3 linked regions of the Nothobranchius furzeri genome follow. The protein of the gene in region 3 interacts with the protein of the main gene of each other region in a biochemical or structural test. Links are inferred from orthologs where the notes say so. Each region holds a gene or a part of one and is shown on either strand. Other genes may lie near its edges.

The links.
Region 1: of the proteins of nin (region 3) and aurka, one has a biochemical effect on the other in vitro, tested with the Homo sapiens proteins (2 studies listed by BioGRID). The link is inferred for Nothobranchius furzeri from reciprocal best matches to the Homo sapiens genes NIN and AURKA.
Region 2: of the proteins of nin (region 3) and gsk3ba, one has a biochemical effect on the other in vitro, tested with the Homo sapiens proteins (2 studies listed by BioGRID and IntAct). The link is inferred for Nothobranchius furzeri from reciprocal best matches to the Homo sapiens genes NIN and GSK3B.

Annotation. Positions count from the first base shown.
Region 1 is NC_091743.1:61,019,506-61,024,887, reverse strand, and holds the end of aurka (aurora kinase A), read right to left. Parts: intron 5,303-5,382; coding exon 5,111-5,302; intron 5,002-5,110; coding exon 4,863-5,001; intron 4,760-4,862; coding exon 4,611-4,759; intron 4,459-4,610; coding exon 4,284-4,458; intron 2,614-4,283; coding exon 2,431-2,613; 3' UTR 1,997-2,430; downstream 1-1,996. UniProt on the Homo sapiens protein: Mitotic serine/threonine kinase that contributes to the regulation of cell cycle progression.
Region 2 is NC_091754.1:24,486,363-24,492,299, reverse strand, and holds the end of gsk3ba (glycogen synthase kinase-3 beta), read right to left. Parts: intron 4,873-5,937; coding exon 4,686-4,872; intron 4,520-4,685; coding exon 4,421-4,519; intron 4,106-4,420; coding exon 4,041-4,105; 3' UTR 2,121-4,040; downstream 1-2,120. UniProt on the Homo sapiens protein: Constitutively active protein kinase that acts as a negative regulator in the hormonal control of glucose homeostasis, Wnt signaling and regulation of transcription factors and microtubules, by phosphorylating and inactivating glycogen synthase (GYS1 or GYS2), EIF2B, CTNNB1/beta-catenin, APC, AXIN1, DPYSL2/CRMP2, JUN, NFATC1/NFATC, MAPT/TAU and MACF1.
Region 3 is NC_091758.1:19,781,114-19,787,332, reverse strand, and holds the end of nin (ninein), read left to right. Parts: intron 1-3,361; coding exon 3,362-3,475; intron 3,476-4,826; coding exon 4,827-5,042; 3' UTR 5,043-5,169; downstream 5,170-6,219. UniProt on the Homo sapiens protein: Centrosomal protein required in the positioning and anchorage of the microtubule minus-end in epithelial cells. May also act as a centrosome maturation factor.

The sequences.
Region 1 (5,382 bases), on a different chromosome or scaffold from region 3:
CTGGCCAGGCAAGCCAACATGTATGGATGAATATACAGTCTGGCCATTACATAAATAAATAAATGAAATACAAGTAAATGGGGCTATAAAAGTTATTTTCTAATCTGCTTTGCCCCAAATCATATGTATGTTGTACTTTAATTTAAATGAAAATAAATAGTGTTTCAACTATGTCCATCAAGTACTTAGAGATTTAATAGCTTTTAAAAATTGTTATTAAAGGCACACAATGTACATTTTTCATATTTTAAAATCATTTTCTTTGAGCAAATATGTGCTAAAATAACCCTTTACACTGGGTTAAAGAAAAATCACTCAGACTCCACCACACTTGCAACTTCAGAGTATCCCGGTCCTTGTAAATCAATAGTAAAGTGGAGCTGACATGCTAGCGCTGCAGTCTGCTTCCAGCACATGATTCCTACATAGTTTAGATCATGAACACAGCTGATTGGTTTTAGTGATGAAACGCTCTGACACTAACGAAGGCTAAGGAGACATTTCAGTAGTTAGGTGAAGGTGTTAAAAACACGATTGCGCAAAGAAGAGTTTCACTTTTGGGTTTATGACAGTGAATTATTAATAGTCTCTAGGGGTGCTCAAAGTAAGCCAAAACTACCAATTGTGTCTTTAAACTTATTTTCTTTCTCCTCTTCTCCATGTTTGATTACATCAATTTGGTAATGAAGTATTTTCACACAAAACCTAAAATAACTTCTGCCGCCTATCATCATCAGTGCTTTCCTGGCATCAAAACATTTTTTTAAAATACACAGACATATTAAGAGAAATCTGTTGCACACAAGAAAATACCATCCCCTCATAGATCCCCATTCATTATTTGGGCAGTTGTGGACCCATGGTCCAGAAGTAGATGGGTGTGACATGTACGTTAACACATGCTTTTTTATTAAATAAAGGACATAAGAACCTTTATCTGCTCGTGACTCACAGAAAAGTCCAAGTCAGCCCAGTTCATTACACACATCCTTCCTTATGAATGCAGTCAGACACTTTCCTCCTAGGTATTCAGCGTTATAATGAACTGGTTTAAGCTGTAAACCCACTGGGCTGATTAATCGGAGGCTTCCCCTATTGGGAAGTATGAATTTGAGCTGGGCTATCAGTAAGCAGTGTGTGTTCTGGCCCTGGTCGGCCTGAAGCAGGCCACCTCGGGAAAAGGGCTGAAATAGTCCAGTTGCACCCCAAAAAAGGCAGGCTATACTAATGTGGACACTCTCTGTGCTATCCAGAGCATGCAGAGCTGATGCTAGTGGGAAAGGCCCATAATGGGAGTGTAACTAAACAGACGGTCTAGATTTCTAGGCTAAGGCTAATGATTTTCTGGTGTATATTTTATATTTTTTTACTGGTTTTAAAGAGACAATGTGTAGTTTTTACCATAAATTTCTGGAAACACCCATCAAAATGTTGTTGAAAATGAATTAAATGATGCCCAGTTGGTGAAAAATATTGGCAGCTTTGTAACATAACCATAAAAATCAGGTCATGGGAGTGGGTCTAAGTCTCTGGGCGACACCATATTAGATGCCATGTTTCCTTCTACGGGAGCCCATGAGGACAAAATGCATTTACTGATTTGTAACAAACGGTTACGACATGTTCTCCATCCATAAATGTTTTTCAAATCTACCTCTTCGCTTGTTGCCAGTGATGAATGGGAGTCTGATGTGCTTGTTATTTTGTCAAAGTTTGCATTCTCTAGGGCTTTTTGACCCTAATGGGCATCCGTTGGTAATGTCTTACTCCAACACAAAAATACTGCTTTCATGCAATGATTTAGGAATCTACTGCCCCCATCACCAGGAAAAATGCACACCATTACTTTAAGTGAAGCAGTCACTCAATGAATTTTATATTAAAACATTTTCTTCAGAAATCCAACTAATGTGATCTGAACCATCACTTGTGATAAAAATTTACTTAGAGCTACAATAAATGATGTGAGATGTTGAAGACAAGACAATACAGATAATTTAGTTAAACCTTTTAAAGAAAACTTTATTTTTTACTGAAACCAACATGCTCAAAGTTAGAGCTCTCTAGCGCCCTCTGCTGTCTCACATCTGTGCAGAAATAAAAAAATAACCTACTTCTCTCAGGTTTTCTGAACTTCAAGCAACACATTTAAAAAAAGTCTTGTTTGCTTATTTCAAGTAACCTTTCATAAAAAGCACAAAGATTTTCATAATTATTACATTTTAAATATTTACAAACAGGATGTCGTTGAGAAGAGAAATAATTCAGGATACGGTAAAAGCAGACAAAACAATGTGGCTCAAGATTCTGTAAAATAACAGGAAGTGGAAAAGTCGAGTAATCAAAGCAGATTCTGACAAATCAGCTTACAACTGATGCTCAGAGGTCAAAGCCGATGGTGCTTTGTCGTACACTCCATCAGGAAAACCCTCACTGACTGGTCTCCTCGGCATTCAGAGTCACGGGCTTCTTGGTGGAATATTCTAGCACCCAAGGGTGGGACAGGACTCCCTGGATGGGCAATCTGTGCATGGGATTGTGCTTCAGCAGCCTCGCTACCAAGTCTTTGGCTCCAGCACTGATACTGGTCTGTGGAGGATATGTGTACTCCACCTAAAGGAGGGAATGAAATCATGACAGGTAGAATCGTAAATAACAGAAGCTGTGAATTAGCAGTTTTAATAAGGACAGAATTGTACATATTTACTCATAGTTTTAATACATTTGCAGCAATTTCTAGCTGGAATTAATGCGTTGTAAGTTGTTGACTGCAGAAAAAAAGCTCCAGAGCGCCTGTTTCAGCACGGAGAATTCCAGTTAGAGAAAGTAGCTTCAGATGGCAGGAATGAGTTTTATTTCCTGATATTTGAACACCATACCTCTGATTGGATAACAGCAATGCGACTTCACCACTGACTTCCTTTGCAACACCGATGTTTTACCTCCAAAAATAACAAGTCTGAAGGAGTTCTGCCATACTGCGGAATTGCTATTGCTAACAGTTAGCTTCTGCTAGTCGAGACGTTCTCTGCTGTTTCCTGGACACTAAATAAACAGCTTTTGCCGCCACGAGTCAAGATGAGTGAGTCCATGAATGTCAAGATTTTCTGAGCAGAGGTTTTTCTGTCTATTTTCTATCAGAAGCTAATGCAGGAGATAGGTGAAGACAACTATTTTCATGTTTAGGCTACACGTGAAACTTGGACACTGATCATTTTCTAAAATAAGTAAAAAACTGTTTCTCAGTGAGCCTGGCCTTTAAGTCTGCAGATCTGTACACAACAGAAATAAAACTATTTTAGGAAAACATCCAACTGATTTCCTTACAGAAAGTACAATTTCAATTTGATTCACAATTAACTCGACCCAGCTTTAGCACAATGTACAGTAACAATAACATGCCAGATTATGACATCATGACCAAGAGTGTACGGTCGGTAAAGACGGCTCTCCCTTGCCCTGCCTCCATCTAAAAGGCTAGGTTATCCAGAGTTATCTCTGTAGTTATGCTGCTATAGGCTTAGACTGCTGGAGGATACACTGACCACTTTCCACACTCTACTACTTTCATCTACAACTTTAACTGTATTATTTCCTGCTATTTCAGTTGTTAACTTTATTTTTTCTCTTTTTCTCCCCAGAATAAGCAACAATGATGTTCTGCTGAGCTGTGGTGGCCTCATGGAGGGGGCCATCATCTAGCACACTACTGCTAACCATTTAAACATTCTCCCTCTCCTGATAATAACTTTTTGCTTTCCTTGACGTTGGATGTGCTACAACTAGTTTACCCATTTAATTATAGATTCACTAGGATAAATACAATAAAGTTTATCTCTCATCAAATAGAATATTTACTAAGAAATCACGATGTAACCATAGAAACATTACTTGGTGTGCGTGCGTGTGTGTGTGTGTCTGCTCTGTCTTCTCGATCCCCAGTGAGTCGTGGTGGATGGCTGCTTATACTGAGTCAGGATCCTCTGGAGGTTTCTTCCTGTTAAAAGGGAGTTTTCCTCTCCACTGTCGCTAAATGCTTGCCTAGTATTAGGATTGCTGTAAAGTCTGATGCAATTTGCTGGGTTCCTTATATAAGAAACATTTTTTCATATTGACTTAATGAACTGACCTGGATTGGAATGTTTATTATGTGAAGTGCCTTGAGATGACTCTTGTCGTGATTTGGCGCTATATAAATAAACTTGAATTGAACGAGTATTTATACATGTTTTGATTTTTCTTTAAATTAGACACACCAAAACAAAAACAGCTGAGTCTCATACCCTTGAAATCTTGCGGTAGGTTTCCTCATGAGTTTTTGCTTCAAAAGGAGGATGTCCAACTAGGAACTCATAGCAGAGGACCCCCAGGCTCCAAAGGTCCACCTTTTCATCATGGGTTTTGCCTTCAATCATTTCTGGGGGCAAGTAGTCAAGTGTTCCACACAGAGTGGACCTTCTGCAGGGGTAAAAACATTTCTAAAATAGGACTTTATTATGCAAGGACAGAAAAGATCGTCACACAAAGAAAAACCAGACAACGATCCTCAACATCAGCAGACCAGAGCCCATAAAACACAGTAAGAAGTTGCATTAAACACATCTGCGTACCTGGATGAAGGGGTGTGAACAGACCAGCCAAAGTCAGCGATCTTCAGCTCCCCGTTGCCTCCCAGGAGCAAATTCTCTGGTTTGATGTCTCTGTGGATCACATTCTTGATGTGGCAATAGTGGAGAGCATCTGCCAGCTCCATAATGTACTAATAACACAAAAGAAAAAACAGTAAGTGGAATTAAGAGTACACCTTCAATAAACCTGTGGAATGTTGACTGTGTTTGAAGTTTGAAGTGTTTTTAACTTACTGTTGCACTCCTGTCTTCTGGGAAACTTCCACACTTCTGCAGCTCGCCGTACAGCTCTCCCTTAGGTGCAAACTCAAGGATGAGATACACACGGGTCGCATCATGGAAGTAGCCATAGAGACGAAGGATGTTCGGATGCCTGTATGAAACCCATGCAGGAGAGAATTCTGTGAAACTGTCTTAAAGGAACTCAAGACAGAGGATAAAGTTTAGATTGGTGTTTTATTGTAATTTTCACATCACATCACCTGAGATGAGACTGAATCTCCACCTCTCTCCTCAGCTGGTGTTCCACCCCAGCCTTCTCAAGCTGGTTCTTGAAGAGCACCTTCAGGGCCAAGATGAATTTAGTCTGACGCTCCCTCGCCAAGTAGACGTTCCCAAACTTGCCCTTCCCCAAGGGACGGCCGATATCGAAGTTTTCCAGGCACCACCGCGTTCTGCATTTACACAGCAGTACAGAGTTAGAAATCCTATTCTGATCTGTTGAATTATTGCACAAATAGAATGTAGAATGTGC
Region 2 (5,937 bases), on a different chromosome or scaffold from region 3:
TTGGCGCTATATAAATAAAATTGAATTGAATCTGGTCTTTGGAACTTCTAGAAGGTTCACGTGGGTGGACCAGAGGGCTCGGGTTGGAGCATAAGGCTTTAACAGTTCAGTAATATAGGGAGGAGCTTGAACATGTAGAGCCGAGTTATTGTCAGGATTCTAAAATGAACTCTAAAGTTAACGGATTACCAGCCAACACCTTCAGAAACACCCATAAAGGCTTAAGTTTGTTATATTGGGCTTATAGTTATGGAAACATTCTGAAATAGTTGAATATTGTTGCATATCCTTCTATTTGCAGGATTTCTTTTCTGTGTCTCTATCTCGTCAGGGCAGAAGTCTGTCCATCCTGGTTCCCGTTCTGCTGAAGTGCTGCAGGAACCGTGTTGAAGAAAATCTTCAGATTTTTTCGTGACAACTTTAATTGCTTGAACTGGACTTTACATAGTTTGGTTTTAAAGAGGTTCTGCTTGTTTTGGACTAAGTGTAATGCATCAAATCAGTTAAAAATAATTAATAACTCATTTAAATTAGTCCCACATTTTTATTAACTAATATTACACTGATGTTATCAATCAGTATTTACGCTCCTCTAGTCCTCTCTCACCCCTGCTTCAAATCAACAAGATCTTTTAGAGAAGCTCAACAGGTTTGGTTTGAAGCGTCAGAAACTGGTTTTAAATGTTCTTATGCAAGAGAGTGACCAAACGCAAAACACAAAAGAACACTAAAAAAAGAACAGGGTAACATGGCAGGAAGGAAACGGGAATAACCTGACTCGAACCAGCTGGAGGCAAAGTGAGAGAGCCACACAAAACAAGTCAGTACAGAAACCGCAGACCAGAAAATTCACCGAGACCTTAAATACCTGCAGGAATTCAATCTTATAAATACGCACGACAGAATTACGCAATGATGACAACTTCATCTATTGATCAACAATCTGTTCACTTATGAGTAAAATGGTTTAATATGACTTTCCTCAACCATCAAGGGTTTGTTTTATAGGAACTTGAATGTATTCTCACATAAACATTGTAAAGAGGGAGATTTGAACTAGACACGTAAAAGATGCACGTGTGGAAGTGTGATGGCCACTATTTTAAAACATCTCAGCAGAGGCGATCAACACAAAAACAGCTGATTGGCGTCCTCTAGTGTCTGCTGGACATTCTCACACTGTTGGTTTCCTTCAGTAGAAAAAAGATATGAATGAATTAAACAGTTTATTTGGAATCAGTTACGATCAGATGTGATTAGATCTCCAAGTTTAGCATTTTCAGATCTTTTTTTGTTTTCCTTCTGGTGAGTTTTTTTTTTACTTAACTTCTCCAGTCAGAACAAAACATCTAAAAATTCCTACGTTAATCCTTTTTTATAGGATTATGTGCGTAGAATGACTGAGACAAGAACATCAGCTCTAATGAAAGGAAGACCAGACAGACTTGATAATTCTTGATCATTTCCAGGCTATCCTACTCTTTATTTAATGCAAATTACAGTACCAGGGAACTATTCCTCGGGGCACGCAGAGGGGAGTATTTACAGAGGCGCACATTTAGCATACCTTCACAGAACAAAAACAAATGAAAACTAAATAAAAAGTTCAGTCACAAACAAAGGCATTCAAGTAGTACTGTTATACAGGATGTTTTTGTAATAGTTTTTTTTTAATATTTTTTTTCTTCTCTTTAATCCCAGGTAGGCCCAGTTAGCACATCTGTAAGCTAGTATATGATACTAGTATTTATACTTGCTTTGTTTTTTTTTTTTTGGGTAACTGTTCTAGTATTTTGATGAACTGGGTGTTAAAAGTTAGGTTAAAGTGGTCAAACCTTGTGGAGGGTAGCAATACGCTCATGAATGCTAAATTACAGCAAGCAGGAGATGGGGGGGTGGGGGCTATTTGACTCAACCCCTTCGGTGCTACTGAACCCCCTCCCACCAACAGAATTAGGAGGGGGGGGGGGGGCGCAAGCAAGAGAACAGAGAAAAAGGAGTTATTGCCTCTGAGGATGGCTCGGCACAACTACATCAACGTTTGGCTTTGGTAACAGAACCAACACTGTCAGTGACACAAAGTCTCTACTGTATTATATGTACAGTATACCAGCCCCCCCCCCCCCCCCCCCTCCTGCCACCACCCACCTCAGTCCATGTGGGTGTGGGGGATTAAACATCTACCAAAATCAACAGGTGTCTAGTGAATCTGCAGTAAGGAGAGCCATCCTTACCTCTAAAGCCTATAATACAACTGCTGTGTGATTGGGGTGGGGGGTGAGTAGCACGACATTCAACAGCACCAAAGGGAGAGTCACAACATTGGGTGAGGGTGGAGACAAGGCGAAGGTGTATGAAAGCAAAGGCACTCCAAACTATAGTTACACTATACATGACTAGTCCTTGTTACAATAATACAGCGGTCTTCTAATGAACTGTACAGGTAAAGATTGAACATATGGCTGGATAAAGCTGATCATCTTCTAACACACCCATAAACATCAGTTTTGCCCTGATTTTAATGTTTTCCTGCTTTCTTTCTTCCCCGTCTTTGTTTTTGCTCATAAACAGTACATGGGTCTGCGTATATATACATACGGTGAACACAACATGGAAAACGACTCAACGCAACATAAAAAAATTAACATACAAGACGTACGAGTTTTGGTGAGGAGCATTTAGGCTGTATGTACAAATTCAGTTTCTTTGTTTCTTTTTTAAATGTAGAGAAGATAATTCGTCAGCCTGTAGTGAGCGGCTCTATGTGCTGTAGGTGGAAAGGAGGGGAAAACAAACACGTGGCTAACATTTCCGTCGACATGAGACAGCCTGCGGTGCACCGAGGACCGCCGCCGGGGCTTCGAAAACAGCCCAGACAAGAAAAAAGCGATCATCTGGAAGTCTCCAGGAGGAGGTGGACTGGGGGACACGTTGCATCGTCACAGACGCGATATTAGACGGAGTCGAAGGCAAAAGGAGCAGAGCAGCACCCTACATCCATCTACACAGGAGGAGAGGGAGGTGGCTGCCGGAGGCCAGCAACTCCAGATACAAAATAAAAACTTAGTGAAGTCTGTCGTCTTTGGGCGGCAGCAAATATTGCCACGGCTCCACCAGATATGAGCTCACCGTAAATGATTTCTGAACCACTGTAGATAATATACATAGAATCTATATATACTTTTTATACATAAAGAAAAGTATTATATAAAGTGTGTATGCGTATTTGTACTGTATGTATAAATCATACAAGCACACAGGACCAGATACACATCACGCCCATCACACACCCTCCAAAACAAATAACATCTGCCCAGGAGTACAAAATAAAAATAAAATAAAAACAGAATAAAAGAGCTTAATGCCTAAAAACAACCCCGGGCAAAAAGAAAACAAATGTCCAAATAATTCTACCCCTCCTCCTCCCTCCTCGAGGCGGGACTGCTCCCTTCCACATAGGATCATCATGCATCCGTGTGTGTGTCTTGAGTGTGTGTTTACGCGTGCGGGAGCCTCATGCCTTGTTTGCAGAAGTAGTGGTGAGAGGACATGACAGTGCCCCCTCCCCTTATTGTACTCAGGTCATGCACTACAGAAGGAACCGAGGGAGACGGGGGAGAAGTGGGGGGATGCAGGGAAACGGTACAATATAAGGAGAGGACAGGTTGACGGGGACAGCGAAGGACTTTTCTACAGATTGTCCTCTTGTGGATGTCTAGCGTGGTGTATACGTGTGAAGTTTAGTACAGTCAGCAACACAGGCGGCCCACGCTTCGCTTTCAGGTGCCTTTAACGGAGGAGGGGAGGAGTTCGAACACCTGCTTATGGGTCAGGGGAGGGCTCAGGGATGCCTGTGTTTTTGGGGGTGGGAGGGGGATTGTTTAGCTGTTGAACCCAGGCTGCCTCAGCATAGCTGCGCCGCTGCCAGGGAGGAGAGCGAGGCAGGAGCAGAGCCGATCGGAGCTCACCCCCTGGTCAGGGCAATGAAGAGGCTGTGGGCTGGGGCTGTGGGCTGAGGCGGGGCCGGGAGTTCTGTGGGCTCAGGAGATGGAGTTGGAGGCGGAGGCGGTGGTGGTGCTGGGACCTCGCTCTGTGCTGCTGCCGTCTGTGAGCAGAAAGCAAAGTCAGTGATGCTGCTTTTAATGGAAACCAGAAAACTCAAAACCATCTGCTGATAATGAAGAGATTCTGAGTTTCACATTTATTATTTAAATCAAATTTCTTGTAAAAAATGTATTCAAACATGCAATGAACTGTTTAAAGAGTTTCAATAACGTACCATTTAAATCTGTTTAGAATAGAATAGTCATTGTTGAGGGTTGATGCCATAAATGTTTCCTTCAAGGTGGTGATTACAGAAGTTCTGCCCTCTTGAATTATAAAAAAAATAGTGTTTTGAAGAAGAAAGCTCTGCAGGTACCTGTGGTGGCAGACGCGTTGGTTGGAGTGGAGGCGGCGGCCTGGCTGCGGGCGTGGGCTGGGATGAGTATGGAGGCCAAAGAGGCATTACTGGATAGCTCTGAAAGATAATGAACATAAGTTATCAGGTCATGTTGTTACAAAGCCACCCTGGAGATAAACTCCCAGATGGCAACAAGACATTCTGAAAGCAAAATGTAAAGAAGCACAAACTAAAGAAAATACAGAGGATTTCAGCTGTTACTGTTCGTGTTTGTGGCGCGTACCCTGGGTGGTGAAGTTAAACAGCGAGGGTTTCTCTCTGCCGTTGGGAAGCTTGACATTGGGGTCACGCAGCTCGTCAAAGAAGGAGTGAGCACAAGCCTCTAGAGGGGTGAGGCGCGCTGTGGGCGTGTACTCTAGCAGGCGAGAGCACAAGGCGATGGCCTCTGGAGGTGTGCGAGGCCGGAAGACCTGAACGACAAATTACAGACACAAATCAACAAGATGACTGTTGCTCGACGAAAGGTATTTGAGGACAGCTAACACATTTGTCAACATGTAAAAGCCTAGAAACAAAGTTCATTTATTTTTTTCCAACACATTTGCAATAGTCTCTAGTAAAAACGAATGCCATGTTAGTTAATCTGTGTGATAAAAGCTCTGACACTCCTGTTTCAGGAGCTAGACGTTAGCCAGAGCAGATGACGGCAGGATTTGGTGTCTCTCTTACTGATACCTGCACATCTCACCTGACTGGCTAACAGCAACGCGACTCTACCACCTCCTTCATTTCCTCTGCAATGGTGATGTTTTATCTCCACAAATAACACAAGTCAGGAGGAGTTCTGTCAAGTTGTGAAGTTGCTAATGCTAATGGTTAGCTTCTACTAGCCAAAATATGCTCTACTCTCTCCTGGACGCTAAAACAACAACAGCCTTCTCCGTCAGGAGCCAAGATGGGTGAGTCTATAATTGCTAATTTTCAGTGTGACGTGGATCTGATTGGCTTTTCTAACCTAAGCATTTCTCCATCTATTTTCTATTCCCGACTAATGCAGGAAATAGGGGTAGAAGACTATTCTAACGTTTAACCTGCATGATAAACTCAGTGTGACCGATCTAACTCAAAAATAACAAGTAAAAAATGGTTTGTGAGTACATTTCTGTGGGGAAAAGGCTTTGGCGCTCCTGTTTCAGGAGCTAGAAGTGAGCCACGTTGAACTTGAGCTTCAGACGGCAGGACTTGGGAGTCTCATTTGCTGATTTTCTGACATCTTGCTTCTAATTGGCTAACAGCAACAAGACTACCACCTCCTCCATTTGCTCTGCAACATTGATGATTTATCTCCATAAATAAAACACGCCTGAAGGAGTTCTAATGTGGTGGAGCTGCTAATGCTAACTGTTAGCTTCTACAAGCAGAGAGGCACTCTGCTGTTTCCTGGACGCTAAATCAGCAACAGCCTTTCCAGTCAGGAGCCAAGATGGGCGAGTCCATGAATGCCAATTTGACATTATGATGTGCTAAGGTCACTG
Region 3 (6,219 bases):
GGTTTAACAGTGTTGCACATGTATAATAATCTGCACTGGTTTTCACAGTTACGGCATTCTTCAAACTATAATAATAAAATAAAGTGAAACGATATTTACAATATGATTAGTTGAGTAGAAACAAGTGCTCAACTAGAACATTTGGAATTTGTGTTACAGCATTTCATGTTTTCAACTTAAATATCAAATATTACAGAAAGTTAGCAAATCGGTAGCAAGTATGCAGGTGCTTCAGTATTGTAGTGGGCATAATCATCAACAGACACGTTTGTTTTATAAGAGGTTAAAAGTAATTTGTTTTAACCAGCGTTTCAGGATCTTGAGGACATTTTCAGTCATGTCTTGGTGAAGCAGCAATGAAAAACGTGTTTCTTGATTATGTAAATAAAAACATTCAAGAGCATATTTTAGCCAAGAAAGCTCATTAGCAAATTCTAGTTTAAGGCTTCTATAGGAGAACAACAAGCAGACATGTTTCAAACTTTAATTAAAGTGCTCTGATCCTGGATCTGGGAAGGTTCTGGAGTGGCTGGTCTGAGGAGCTGGAGAGTGATGATGGAGAAGCAAGACAGAACATCTTCAGAAGCTCCTGTAAGACAAGTATAACAGTCGTTAAACAAACAAACAAACAAAACAAAAACAAAAAACAACAGTGTGGCCAGGTGGATAAACGAGGGCTCGGGCGGGATTCGATCCCTAGACTCCCGGGTGAGAGTCATACGCTCTAACCAGTCAGCCAAAGGAACATCCCCTTGGCCAAGTAGCCAGGGCACATCATCAATCGGGACGTTGCGACAGCACACACACACACACACACACACACACACACACACACACACACACACACACACACACACACACACACACACACACACACACTGTCACAATAGTAAATACTGAAAGTGGATGAACTTAAGAAGAATGGAGTTTTGGACAGAAAGAGCACTGATGTTTCAGCTGGACTCACGAGCCACGAGGACAGACTGATACGGCAGCCACACTTTTAAGTAATCATCAGGTCTGACTGAAACAGCGTTTCTGCCTTTTACAGGTGGACAGAAAAAATAATAATGTCGACACATTGTTGATAATATTACTACATTTCAAGGCTTTTTCAATACAGTGAAATTAGTTGAAACAGAGCCGAGTTGTATTAGAAAACAGCAATCCGCACAGCCCGACAGCCCGGCGAATCTGGGATGAATTAGTGCTGCCTCAACCTCCTCGTCTTTCATTGGGTCACTGGAGTTTAAATTAAGTGGATGAGAAACCCATGGGGAGGGCTCTACATAAATGAGAGTAAAGTTGAATTTTAAACGCGTTAAAACTGTCACAAAGTGGCGTTAAAAGCGGCGTTTTATGTCACAGGACGGCGAAAAAAGCGGCGTTCAATGTCCGTACCAAACGCCGTATTTTACGCCACCCACACAGAGAACGCGTCTGGGATTAGGGTGACGTAAAAAACGGCGTTCAATGTCCGGAAAAAACGGCGTATTTTACGGGCGTTCTACGGGACCGTTCAGAACGGCGTAAATTACGGCGTTCTGGCAGAGTTTTCGCCGTATTTTACGACGTCTTGGCACATCAAACGGCGTTTTTTTCGCCATTTCTTAACTAGACGGGTTGGGAAAGTGGCGTATTGTGACGGTTTTGGCTTGCCATAAGGGAGGGGCGACTCGACGCGTCTCTACGGGCTCCAGTAGCAGCGACAGCCAGCGGGTTTGATCCGCTCTGAAAGGCGTTGATCAGAATTTGCAGATCACATTTTTTGAACGGAGATCGGGCGCGTGCAGCCATCATGCGTCACTCAATACATCGTCCGTGTGGAAACTCGCCTAGGAACTTTTATCCGCTGCACTTAAATCACACAAATAAAAATTTATTTAATGGAAAAAAAAAATAAATCAAAACCGTACGCAAGTGGCCCGAACCAAAACAGTTCAACACCCCCTCGCGATCCGTTACACCCCTGCTGGGTAGATATTATTATTTTTCTTTTTAAAAACTTAAACAAAAAAAAACTTGCCTGCATACATTTGTGTACAATCATCATCTCAATCTATCATTTCTGTTGTTTTTTCATCAAAATCATCCAGAAACGGAGCCGAATGAAAGCCGTCTTCAGGATTTTAGCGTTTCCGTGTTGATGATGATTCTCTCTGTGGGTGTAGAGGGTTAGCGGAGGGGTAGAACTCTGGTGAAGTGTTCCTGCCTTGTCTCTTCAGGATCCGATGCCAGATCAACGGGCCGCTCACGCTGACAGCTACAGGCGGATCGGCGGATTGTGACGCCCGCCTCTTTCCTCTTCGCTTAAGTTTAGCTTTGGCTCTTCGGCGACGTTTGGAGCAGAAACATCTGAACTGCATCCTTGTAGGAGATTGGGTGGGTCCCGATTCTCAGGTTGTGATTGGATTTCTCTGCTGCCAGCTGGCAGGAACACACACAGGGTGAACCTGTGGTTTCTCCCAAAGGGATGATGGGAAATTTTAAAAACTACAGACTACTGTTACATTTTGACAAATTGGAGTTTTCTTTCCACGTTTGTCTTCATTACAGGGAACCTTTTTAATGCTGGATTTGTGTTTCTGTAGATTTTCAGTGATGCACTTGTTTGTTTTAATAACTGTGACAGGGTATAGATCCTCAGAGGCCACACCTTTTTGTTGCCTAATGATAATGGAAGATCACTGTTGTTTTGTTTGTTTGTTTTTATCAGACCCCCCCACACACACACACACACACACACACACACACCTGTTACTTGTCTGACTGTACATTGTCCCATTTGATGACCTATAAATGCATTTTATTATGTATTTTTGTTTTTTAAGGCTGATGTTTTCTGTCTAATTAAATGTGTTGGACCTGTTTTGTTGCTGCTGCACAACCAAAGCGAATCACAACTTCCTGATTTTGTTTTGTTTTTTCACTAAACTGTTAATTTTATTTCACTGATTATTTAATATTTATTAAGTGCTGTGCCATGAATACACTGTTAATTGTTTTTGTCACTTGTGTATTTTGGGTTTTGAGCCACTTTATGAGATGTTTTCCACCATGTTTCGATTTTAAACTCTTTTGTTGTTATTTAAGGTTTATTTTTTTACTTCTGATAGTATTTATTTTATTTATGCATTATTTTAGTAGGTTTATTTTTAATAAATGAAATTATATATATTTTTTTATATTTTCTTCAGAAATGTACCTAAAACTGCATACAGATCAGACAAAAATAAAACTAGTCAACAAAAATAATGGCCCATAAGTTTTTGACTTCCATGTTTACCAGCTTTGATGCTGTTATAATGTAAAACACTCCCTAATGTTGTGATCTGGTGACATTCCTGATTGTTTTTCCCAGGAAGAGCGGGAGCGAAAGATGAAGAACATGGAGGAGCGCATGAAGGAAATCGAACTGTCGCTGTTTAACGTAAAGCTGCTGCTGAAGGAGAAGGTCGCTCAGCTGAATGACCAGGTCAGTCCATCTTCTCTTCTGCGGTTTACTATGGCGGCCATCTTGAATGGCAATTTACTTCAGTAGCTATGGAGTTGTAGATGTACTATTACTTTCTGGGTTGTATTGGAATCCATCCTGAATCCTGTGGTCACTGGTCTCAATGCTGCAAGGCTGTTTTTCCTAATTTGCATAAAAAAGGTATTAGCTTAACTTTCGTTTTAGCTCAAGTTCCATTCTACCACAACTTCTCCTTCATGCTATTTCATTTATTTATTTAAATATTTATTCCCCATTTATCATGACTTCTGTTGTAGGTTTTGGTATTGTGTTGAGCCTTCTGGGTCACCATAGGAACCAGCAAATTGTATTATATGTTGACTTCAACACAATCCCTCATTCTGAGCCAGCGCTGTGTGATGGGCCACAGTGGGAAGTAAAACTCCTCTTTTAATAGGAAGAAACTGCAGCAGAAACCGAACCAGGTTCAGAATGGAGCAGCCTTCTGCCTCGGCCAGCTGGGATCTGAGAGACTGGATAACTCTGAGGGATGGGGCCAATTGTTGTTTCTAATGATGATGAACAAAGTTAGTCACAGCAATAACAGTAAATACAAACCTGGCATTAAAGAGCGTAAATCCAACTGAGTGTGGTCAGTATGGCTTCCAGCAGTTCAGGTTTATAGCAGCATAATTAAAGGGATGAGCCAGAAAAACCAAAACTAAACTGTTAGAATGATCAAAAAGAAGAGACCAATTTCACAAATAATCAGAATAACTTTTTTGTCCAATTTTACCTGATGTCAGATTGCAGGAATTTCAGATCCAAATTCCCAGGTTTTTTTATTTTTAAGTACAGACATTTCATCCTAAAAAAAAACATTTATTCCTTTAGAGTAACCTTTCAGGATCCAAACTGGTGAATTTCACATTTTACTTTATATTTTCCATTGTTTTTCCAAATGATCTGATACAGTGGGTTGTTTTGTTTGTGCATTTTGTTATCAGCTCCTGAGAAAGCTTTTATATTTTGCCTGAAAACCAATAAATTTGTCACTATATAAACAAGCTACGTAAGCAAGCAAGCAAGCAAGCAAAAGGTCAGAGGGTCTCAGCTTCTAGGAGTCTGGCTGGTTTAATGGTAAAATAATTGCATCAATATATGTTGATGTAATTGTTCGTGACACCAAAAGGGGGCAGTAAAACGCTGAATTAAACTTCAAATTTAGGAAAGACTGCATTCTTGGATTTAGTAAAACAATTTTTTCCAGTTACTAATCTTCTAATCCATCTGATCTGTATATTTTGGACCAATATGTTTCCAATCAAGACTCAAACTATCTGTAACTTTCTATGTATTTTTTTTCTCTTAGCTGAACAAGAATGGCAAAGCTGATGTTCTGATCAAAGACCTGTATGTGGAGAACTCCCATCTGGTAAAGGCTCTGGAGAGAACTGAGCAGCGACATGAAATTGCAGAGAAAAAGAACTACCTGCTGGAGGAGAAGATCTCCACCCTGAATAAGATTGTACGGGATCTAAACCCGTCTTATCTTCCAGGGCTTTCTTATAACTGTAAATACGCATGATGACATCTCAGCATCTCATTTTCTTTTAATGTTCTCTATGTAAAATGGACTTTTACCTTCAGGGACACCTCTGTAGCAAATCCTACCAAATGGACAAGAATCTGAAGGTTCTATTGCAATTTTTTACTTGGATTTTTGCAGTATTTTTGTTATTCTAAGTTGCTGAACTTGCAAATATCAAGTCATATTTTAGACATTTTATTTCTCTGTAATTTATTATTTTACAAATATCTTAAAGTAGAAACTGTTGTATCATATATATATATATATATATATATATATATATATATATATATATATATATATATATATATATATATATATATATATATATATATATATATATATATATATAATATGAGAAATGTAGCACTGTTATGTATTTTGATACAGGTGTTTTTATCTCATTGTTTATTTGTAAGCAGCCATACGATGAAGGACCAGAATCGGTTTGTGATAAAATCATGAATCGTAATGGAGGTTTTTTGCTCCTATTTAACACTACTTGAAACTCTGCACACTTTTAATGTATGTCAAATAGTAATATTAAGAAAAATAGAAATATGCTTGTGAAACTATACTGCAATATGTAAAGTTACTGTTAGACGGTGCCATTATGAATGCTTGACTTTCTCTGCAGTGATGAACACTAAAGTGAAATTAGGGTGATGTGAAAATAAAGTGTATGAGCTGTGGTTGGTGGTTAATAAAAATCAAATAATGGTGAATATATTAGCATTATTTAGCCATATTCAAAGTTTTATAGTTTTGTTTTCATGGTTTTATTTTCCTTATAGTTGAACTTTTCTCTCTAACAATGTTTAGTTAAAGAGGCAATTATTCACAAAGCGTGTTTACAATAAGGTGAGAACTTGGAAATAAAGAGTATAAAAGCACTAGTTAAAGTGTCCATTGTTTTATTTTTTTCGTGTTTTGTCAACACACTTTGTACGTTTTTGTACGCCTGCTATCCGGTAGAGGGCGCTTTAGTAGCTGGGAGGATCGTAAACACCCAGCCCGGGTGAGGAGGGCCAGCTGTGGGACTGAATCGCTGCAATCGCTCGCTGTAGCAGCAGCTAGCCGGCTAAGCGCTAACTGTAGAAAATGTTCACATTCCGCCCGTTGTTTCCTGCCAGGGCTGCGGAGGATTGTGCCATGACATCACAGCCGAGTTTTT